3 linked regions of the Oryctolagus cuniculus genome follow. The protein of the gene in region 1 binds, or shares a complex with, the protein of each later gene. Links are inferred from orthologs where the notes say so. Each region holds a gene or a part of one and is shown in the gene's direction. Other genes may lie near its edges. The genes, in order: CHTOP, THOC1 and THOC7.

Region 1 (3,662 bases):
GATACCATTCCTTTTCTGATAATGTGCAATGGTGAGAGGCTATGACCTGCGTAACAACAGGTAATTCATGTCATCTCCATTCCATTTTAAAACACCGTGCTGCTGCTTGAATCAAAAAGCACATTGATGTTCTAGAAATAAGTCAAATGTAAGAACTTTGTTGGTCTTTTGACCTATATCTTAACCAACCATCTCTGCTCCTGGTGCTGGTGAAAAACTACTGTATCTGGAAGAGAGGACAAGTTGACCCATAGCATTTAACTTGTATCTTATGTTTTGGGCAGTATTATACTGCCATGTATAGTTTTTCATTCCTACAAGAATGTATTAAGAGCAGGAACCGTTTATTTTAAATCTATAATGCTAGGCATCTATCTGATTATTCAGTAAATATGTATTAAATGTATGTACTTACTACCAACTTCTTCCAAAAATGGATTTGTGGTCAGACTTGTTGAATTGATTAAAGAGCAGCTTTTTAATCTGCTCACATTGTGTGTAGTTTGCCCCACCCAACCTAAAAATTAACTCAATTACTCATTTAACCCTCACTGCCTTCCTTTGGTCAGAATCTACTTTGTCTCTCTTGGATTTACCTGCATATACATTGTGTGCCTCCTCTCCAAGGTCAAAACCTGCTCCGAGGTGGACGAGCCGTAGCTCCCCGAATGGGCTTAAGAAGAGGTGGTGTTCGAGGTCGTGGAGGTCCTGGGAGAGGGGGCCTAGGGCGTGGAGCTATGGGTCGTGGCGGAATCGGTGGTAGAGGTTAGTCAGCTACCAACTTCAGAGAGTAGCTCCCTTTTATTTTCCTCCCTTAAAAACTCAGAGCCACCTTTCTGCACAGCTTCAAGTCGTAGACAGGCTTGTATGTTTGTCTTGTTTTGTTTTTTGAAACTGGCTTATTTTCCAAATTCACATGCTGGTAGTGCAAAAATCTGTCATTTTTCCAAGAACCAGTCAGGTGTGTATTAGCCAGATTATATGTAGTCTTCCAGACTCTTGCAGATGTAAATTTTATTATAAAAATGACTAAATAGTTTGGGATCTTTTCTGTCTCTGCTGAATCATCACCACACACACACACCCCTCATAGCTCAAAACACCAGCTTGAGTCAGATAAGAATAGAGAAGAGGGAGATGTGCAAATATGAAGGCAGAGTGAGGTAGACTTGGAGCCGGGCACTGTCTCTGAAGCCAAGTTCAGCATGCCTGTGGGGAACCCTAGATGCCTCTTTCTGATCAAGGTGGACAGTAAGATGATACTCTTGTCAGTGAACTCACTGGCTCTTGATGATTATACCTTTGAGAAACTTGGTGATACTTGTTTTGTGACCTCATGACCCAGATTGGAAAAGCTTAGTGGTGGTGATGGTGTTACTGCCAAATCTCATGGGAGCTTTCTGACTTAGCTTAATGAAACACTCCCAACAACACCTGTAGGGGAAGGGGAGACCTGTTCTTATGGTCCCTTGTTTATATTCCTTTGGTCCTTTTAAAGTGTGTGGTGGGTCTTCCATAATTTATGACCATGAAGCTGCCAAGGAATATTAACTGTAGGAAATCTGATAACCAAGGGCTTGTTTGCTTTCCCATTATGTGCTACTTGGCTTATTGAGTGAATTGCAAAGGAGTTTGAGTTTCGGGATGAAATACCATGTTTCTAGAATTATCTTGATTTGGTTTCTGAGAGACATCACAGGGGTGGCAGAGACTAAAGTAGCTTTTCAAAAAAGCGAGTGTGCTTTGTTAAGTGAATTGAAACCACCTCTCAAATAGCCACATTGTCCTAAGGTGACTAGAATCAGAGGTAGACGGGGCTAGGACCATTCAAAATGTTTTTTTCCATCTTCTCACATTATTCCTGTGTCAAAATAACTCCTCAGTCTCCTGACACATGGGGAAGTCAGCTTGTTAGACCTCACTAAGTTTAAAGAGAGATGAGATCATTTTCCTGAAGGGTCTCCAGTAAAGCTTCATTTGGAAACTATCTGCCTTCACACCCTTGATTCTCTGTGCCCTTTCACTTTCTTTCTGTCTCGCTATATGGGGTTATCTCTAATGGATTTCAGTAATGAACTGATAGTGAGGTCTCAAACTTTAGGTTATTCTTTGTCTTAGGAAAGATTAATTTTTTTAATTATTATAATTGGCAGCTATTTTCCCTTTGATCGGATAATATTTTAAGTAGCATTTAGAGATGAGCATGTAATAAGGAATTCATTATGTGTGCTTTCCATGTGTTGCTTTCTATCCAGTGTGTGTGTGTTTCCAGATTTCTCCTTTACCCTGCCCTTCAGCTTTTCTCAGCTAGGCTCCACTACTCTTAGGGGCATTTACTATAGCATTCATTAAGCCTAATTGTAACTCTTGTTTTTGTTTTTGTTTTTTTCCTCGGGCCAGGTCGGGGTATGATAGGTCGGGGAAGAGGGGGCTTTGGAGGCCGAGGCCGAGGCCGTGGACGAGGGAGAGGTGCCCTTACTCGCCCCGTATTGACGAAGGAGCAGCTGGACAACCAGTTGGATGCATACATGTCGAAAACTAAAGGACACCTGGATGCCGAGTTGGATGCCTACATGGCGCAGACAGATCCTGAAACCAATGATTGAAGCCTGCCCACCGTTGTGTGAGAGACTCTTACTAAAATCACCACATCTGTAAATAACCTTGAGATAACAGTTGAAAAGAAACCTGATTGATGCTGGAAGGACCTATCATAATAGGCTATGGACTTAACCTACCACCAGTTGTGCATTTAGTGTGTTCCTTTGACTTTTTGATACTGTGTTGTATGAAACCCTTTTTCTCTTGATTTGGTTGGGCTTTGCTTTTTTTCTTTGTTGTTGTTTCCTTCGCAGACTTCTCTTTGAACATGAATGTGTTGGCCTTACGGCTAGGATACCCTCTTCCTACCTCTGCCTCCCTTCACCTGCCATATACTCTAATCTTCATTTCCTCGGTTCATCTGTGTTCCCTCACAAAAAAGTCCTAGAAAGAGCCACTGTTCCTCCCTAATGCCTAGGTTTCTGAGATTAAGTTCTGTATAATAACCTCTTAGAAGTGTTCAGAACATCTGGAGCTCAGAAATGTGTTGATGATGCAGTATACAGTGTAGTAAATTGGGAACACTGACATTGCCAAGGGCCAAAAAACAGTTTATAGATGGTAGAAGCTCAAGTTTGATTGAAGTTGCTACCATGTGCAGTAACACGTGTGGTAACTAGGCTTGCTGGGTTGGGTAAGATCCTTTCTACCCACAAATGAGATTTATACACTCTCCTCTTGGCTTTGTATTTCCCAAGGGATTGAGCTGGTTTAACTCCTTCATATAGAAGAAGAAAGCCATTTGGTTTGGCCAGTGCGTCAGAAGGTACGGGGATGGAAGAGCAGTGGCAGACTAATTGCTGGGAGGATCAGAAAATAATACCTGGGCTGAAAAGCAATTAGTCTCGTGTTTATTCCAAACCAGTCTTGGGTTTCTCCACTCACTGATTCTGTCTGAACTCCTCTCATTTCCCTTGAACGTTTAAGTAATTTCAACCATAGTCTGTCAACTGTTCCAGGTTCTGTGAAATCTTGTGTATTTCTGATTCATTATAACAAACTGTTCTCTCAAATCCAGCCAGGATTTTCTCTTATTTGTTGGGCTCCTCAAAATGCTGTGG
Region 2 (2,860 bases), on another chromosome or scaffold:
TATTATTACCATTTATTAGAGATGGTCAAGTAAGTAGAATGCTACTCTGAATTTGCGGGTGTGGGAGATAAACTCATAAATGGAGTTAGAGCTTTGGCTTCCTCTGCAGTTCCGCTGCTTCTGGAGCAGTATCTTCAGACTGTCTGGAACCACCTGCTGCTGCTGGGCTTTAGTAGGGACGTTCATGGCTGTTCTTGCCAGCTCTGTGTTGGCTGTTACTTTTAGTATTTGAACCATTTTTATTCTTTCAAGTGGGCATTAATGCAAGTTAAAGCTTACATGTTATAAATAGAAAAACCAAATAAAATATATGTAAACATTTTAAATGTGCTTGCGTCTGAGGCTGACTCTTCATGCAGTTGGTTTCTATTACGTACATGTGCCCTGCATACAGAGATGGTCTTTAGGAGTTGGACAGAATGACAAGAATGGCTGCTTTGCTCTGTTTACCTTACAGATGTCATGTGGCAGAATTAAATAGAAGAGAATATACAAATAGAAAACACTAAGTTATACAATTGACATCTCTCTTTGTAGGGCTGTGAACAATTCAAATTACGGTTGGAGAGCCCTGAGACTGTTAGCGCGAAGAAGCCCTCATTTCTTCCAGCCAACCAACCAGCAGTTTAAAAGTTTGCCAGAATATCTTGAGAACATGGTAATAAAGCTAGCCAAGGAATTGCCAGTAAGTAATTTAGATTGTCTCGTACTCTGTAGTTGACGTCATCTTTTTAAAAACTGTCACTGTGTGAGCAAAGAAATGAGCAAAATTTGAGATTTGTTTATCATGTCAAAAATAGCAATGCACAAACTTCCCTGTTTAGAATGAAAAAAATAATTTGAATATGTACACTTCCAGGAAATAAAGTAGCTGATAGTTTTCTGTAGCACGTAACTTAATACAAGTCTACAATATTTTAGGTAAGCTATTTATCCAGCCATTAAACTCACACATGAATGTTTCCCATTTGCCGTTATTGTCTTTCATCAAAAACAGGGGCTAAGGGTAGAAAATAGAGAATTTGCCCTTTGTTCCTGTTCTCTTTTCCAATACAGTTTTCTAACCATATTACAGCATGGATTACCATTAGATAATACCATATGACTGAAATCTAATAAAATTTTCAAAAAATGTTAAGGACACTGTGGCTCTCCGGCCTTCTCTACCAAACCTTTAGTCTCTGCACATCAGCTTCCCATGCTTTTCACTGCCTCCCTTCAGTGCAGGCTGGGGACAGGGGGAAATCTTCCTACCTGTAATCCTCACCTGATATTCACATTTAGCACTCCTGAGGGTAAGGTACTGGGGTCCTGTACTTAAGAGTCTCAAACCTCTGTTTATTTAAAAAGCATCTTCAGTTATCTTACTTCACAAGGTAGTATTCTTTTAAACATCTTTTCTCATTTTTAGCCTCCTTCTGAAGAAATAAAAACAGGTGAAGATGAAGATGAGGAAGATAATGATGCTTTACTGAAGGAAAATGAAAGTAAGAATTCAGTTTTCTTAGTTATTTTACAAAATTGGAAAAGACTGGGGTTCTTTATGGGGAAGTAGGTTTATTTCATCCAAACCACTTCTCAACTTCTGCCTCTTTATCTCAGTACTGTCTTCTGATAGGAATTAACAACAAAAAATACTACATTTTTGCAATAAAATTTGGAAGTGATGGTATTTTTAATGTAGAGAAGTGGAGTTGTAACTGATAACTACTGGAGGGGGACAGCTGTTGATAATAATCATGATCATAAGAGCAGTATTCACCCATGGAAAATGTGAAAAAAGTTATGTTACAAGAAAGCTTACTAAAAGTGGTAATTCAGTGGCCCCATAGCTGTCCAGTTCTGCTGTATAGTGTCCTTTACATGTATTATACAATAATCTCTCTTTTCTAGGTCCTGATGTTCGGCGAGACAAACCTGTAACAGGGGAACAAATAGAGATATTTGCCAACAAGCTCGGTGAACAATGGAAGATTCTGGCTCCCTACTTGGAAATGAAAGACTCAGAAATTAGGCAGATTGAGTGTGACAGTGAAGATGTGAAGATGAGAGCTAGGCAGCTCCTAGTTGCCTGGCAAGATCAAGAGGGAGTGCATGCAACACCAGAGAATCTGATTAACGCTCTGAACAAGTCTGGATTAAGTGACCTTGCAGAAAGTCTAACTAATGACAATGAGACAAATAGTTAGCTTCTTTTTTCTTTTTTTATTAAAACTGTGATAAGATTTTGTTACCAAGCAGCATTTGATAAGAGGTCCACTGGTTTTGGTAAACAATAAACATTTTTATAACAGTTGTTGTACAGTTGGCTGGTGCTCCAAGAACCATAGAACACACATTGGCTCAAACCTCAGGGTTGGAGGGGGTTGGGAATGGGAAAAATGACCAAAATGAGGTGACCTCAAGATCACAAAATATATTTTTGTTAAATGTATTTGTAATGAAGTTAAGTGATATTTAAGGATATGTTGTTTCATACACCAAATTAGTTTCCTGCACCCTATTAGTTATAAAATGTAGGGCTCTGAAATCCCCGATTAACACCTTCTGAAACCAAGACCACTCTATTCCACTTTATTCATGCTTTACAGCACAAACTGAGCAAATGATCTGTTCACTTCATGTTTTTATAATTAAAATTGTATTGGCACTCACTGTGCCTAATCCTGTTGGCCATGGTCCCTGCTGCCCTACAACACTAAGTATTTGCAACAGACAGACACCTATGGCCTGTAAAGCCTCAAATATATACCATCTGGCCCATTACAGAAAATGTTTGCCAACTCCCACCTTTAAAAACCTTACTCTTCTAACCTTAAAAAGATGTCTTAAGTCTACCTCAGAGATTATGAAGTTCAAA
Region 3 (2,746 bases), on another chromosome or scaffold:
AAAAATAAGACATGCAATAAATTGTAGATTATTCCTAAGTTTGTGAAACACAGATAGTAAACATTTATAAAAATTAAATCATCTCAAAACACTTTATGTGTAATATTTGGTATATTAATGCTGTAAATTATTCATGAATTAAATATATACATTAAAAAGCATTATATTTAATAAGGTTGCATAACTAGGGCTAGAGAAGAAAAAAGGACCTGGAAGAGAAGACTGGGGGTAAGGTTCAAAGAGCTACCAGCAGTATCTTATATCTTTATAGAAAAAAAAAATGGCAGTATGTGAAAATGTATCAGTTCTTGGAATTTGTTATTTTCTGTTTCCTTGAATTTTTCAAAATTTGTCCAAATTGTAAATAATAAAAAGGAGTTAAGAAGAAATAATCCTCAGCTTTGAAAATCTTGTTAGAGTAGATTGTTAAACTTCTTATCCATTTGTTATTTTTGAAAGTACTATTTAGTAACTAGAAATTTGGTATTAAATGTAAATTCTGTTCCTTCAATTGGCAAACTATAACTTTTTTTCAGGGAACTAGAGTCTCTGGGAAAAGAATTAGAGCATCTTTCACACATTAAAGAAAGTGTTGAAGATAAGGTATTTATTTACATATTATGTTAGCCTTTGTGATACATATATGCTTATAATACATCAATTTGCAAAATTTTATTTTCTTGTTAACACAGCTTGAATTGAGACGTAAACAGTTTCACGTTCTTCTTAGTACCATCCATGAACTTCAGCAAACATTGGAAAGTAAGTAGAATAATCTCAAAATGAATGCTTATGAAAACTCTGTGTTAATACAGGGAGATGCCTTTTGAAATATGCATTTTGGGGGCCAATGTTGTGGCATAGTGCTGGGATCCCTGTGGTCTTCATTTCAAGTTCTGGCGGCTCCACTTCCCAATCCAGCTCCCTGCTATTGTGCCTGGGAAAGCAGCTGAAGATGGCCCAAGTGCTGGGGCTCCTACTTACATGGGAGACCCGGAAGAAGCTCCCGGCTTCTGGCATTGGCCTGGCACAGCCTCTGCTGTTGCAGCCATTTGGGGAGTGAACCAGTAGATGGAAGATTTCTTTCTCTGTTCTCTCTCTCTCTCTCTCTCTCTCTCTCTGTGTAACTCTGACTTTCAGATAAATAAAAGAAATATGCATTGTGAAGAGAGTATATCTTACATTTCTGAATAGGAGAATAGCTGGATAATGTTAGCAGGCATCCATGCTGTTTAGCTTCATAAAGTTATGCAGAAAAGCCTTACTTTATACTAATACATGACTTAAATATATGACATAGCTTAAGAAAAATTTAATGATGATGAGTTTAAAATTTTTCTTGGTTATTATAGTTTATTACTATAAAGAAATGATTCAAAACCCTGATAAGCAAGGTAAGTATTCAGTATATAAGAATATTTGCATACCCATTGATTGAATGGTGAGTGCCTTTGGGAACTATAGATGTGCTGTTTATATTTTCTGTAGCCAACTGGAAATTACCCTATTACCTGATCTTCTGATAGTTTTGAGGAGCCTAAGACTTGGATTTTTTGGGGGAAAATTTGGTAGAGAATCTAGCGTGCAGATTTTGCATTTTGATTCAACTAATCAACAACAACCCATACAATTTTAAAAACGAAACACTTCATGTGGGCTGATTATAGATACAAGCTAACTTTTCACTATTTTTGCTTTAAGTGTGTTGGCTAATAAAGGATAACAGTGTTCTCATATATTCACTAGAGACAAAATTTGGGCAAATTTGACTAAGGTTGTATGTTTCTTTCTCAATTACAGATGATGAAAAGCTCTCAGAGGTAGAAGAAGCTCAAGAAACAAGTATGGAAGCCAACCCTAAGCCATAGATGGGCTAATCACTCATCATTCCTAGGAATATTAAGATCACTACATGATCCTCGTGTGCTTAGAAATTGTTGTGCTCATGAGATAGTTAATGTTTTGGCAATGAGATACTTTGTTTTAAATGTTAATGTACATTTCATTCATATTTCTTTACACAAGGAAAATGCCTTCACTGTGGATTTGGTTTTGTTGAAATGCTTGTTTTTTATTATTAAAAGTTAGGAAGCAGCATCCCAAAATGTTTAATAAAATGTTTTCAAGCTGAATTTGTTTGTGCTTCTTACTATGTTAGTATCTAGTAGCACTGATAACTGCTAACATTTTAACTGGTAGCATCTATTGGCTTACAAAGTTAAGTTAAAGATTGTGAGACATTGACATTTCTAGGATCTTCACGAGAAAATGAGTCCATTTCTGGAAATTATTACCACTTTTTTTTTAAATATTTAGACATCAGAATGTCTTTGATATAGAAATCAACAAACAACAAATGCTGATGAGGGTGTGGGGGAAAAAAGGTACCCTAATCCACTGTTGGTGGGAATGTAAACTGGTACAGCCACTGTGGAAGACAGTATGGAGATACCTCAGAAAGCTGAATACAGATGTACCATATGACCCAGTCATCCCTCTCCTGGGAATTTACCCAAGGGAAATGAATTCAGCATATGAAAGAGTTATCTGTATCCCCATGTTTATGGCAGCTCAATTTACATCTAAGATATGGAATCAACCCAAATGCCCATCAACTGAAGACTGGATGAAGAGATTATGGGATATGTACACCATGGAATACTACATAGTGGTAAAAAAAATTAATTCCTGTCCTTTGCAACAAAATATATGGAACTGGAAAACATACTTAGTGAAATAAGCTAGT

The links.
Region 2: CHTOP (region 1) and THOC1 share a complex: the UniProt entries of both Homo sapiens proteins name them as parts of the transcription/export (TREX) complex. The link is inferred for Oryctolagus cuniculus from reciprocal best matches to the Homo sapiens genes CHTOP and THOC1.
Region 3: CHTOP (region 1) and THOC7 share a complex: the UniProt entries of both Homo sapiens proteins name them as parts of the transcription/export (TREX) complex. The link is inferred for Oryctolagus cuniculus from reciprocal best matches to the Homo sapiens genes CHTOP and THOC7.

The regions. Positions count from the first base shown.
Region 1 is NC_091438.1:44,665,044-44,668,705, reverse strand, and holds the end of CHTOP (chromatin target of PRMT1 protein), read left to right. Parts: intron 1-627; coding exon 628-765; intron 766-2,400; coding exon 2,401-2,606; 3' UTR 2,607-3,614; downstream 3,615-3,662. UniProt on the Homo sapiens protein: Plays an important role in the ligand-dependent activation of estrogen receptor target genes. May play a role in the silencing of fetal globin genes.
Region 2 is NC_091441.1:56,785,842-56,788,701, reverse strand, and holds the end of THOC1 (THO complex subunit 1), read left to right. Parts: intron 1-537; coding exon 538-685; intron 686-1,411; coding exon 1,412-1,487; intron 1,488-1,893; coding exon 1,894-2,189; 3' UTR 2,190-2,293; downstream 2,294-2,860. UniProt on the Homo sapiens protein: Component of the THO subcomplex of the TREX complex which is thought to couple mRNA transcription, processing and nuclear export, and which specifically associates with spliced mRNA and not with unspliced pre-mRNA.
Region 3 is NC_091441.1:85,869,484-85,872,229, forward strand, and holds the end of THOC7 (THO complex subunit 7), read left to right. Parts: intron 1-536; coding exon 537-603; intron 604-692; coding exon 693-762; intron 763-1,800; coding exon 1,801-1,868; 3' UTR 1,869-2,132; downstream 2,133-2,746. UniProt on the Homo sapiens protein: Component of the THO subcomplex of the TREX complex which is thought to couple mRNA transcription, processing and nuclear export, and which specifically associates with spliced mRNA and not with unspliced pre-mRNA.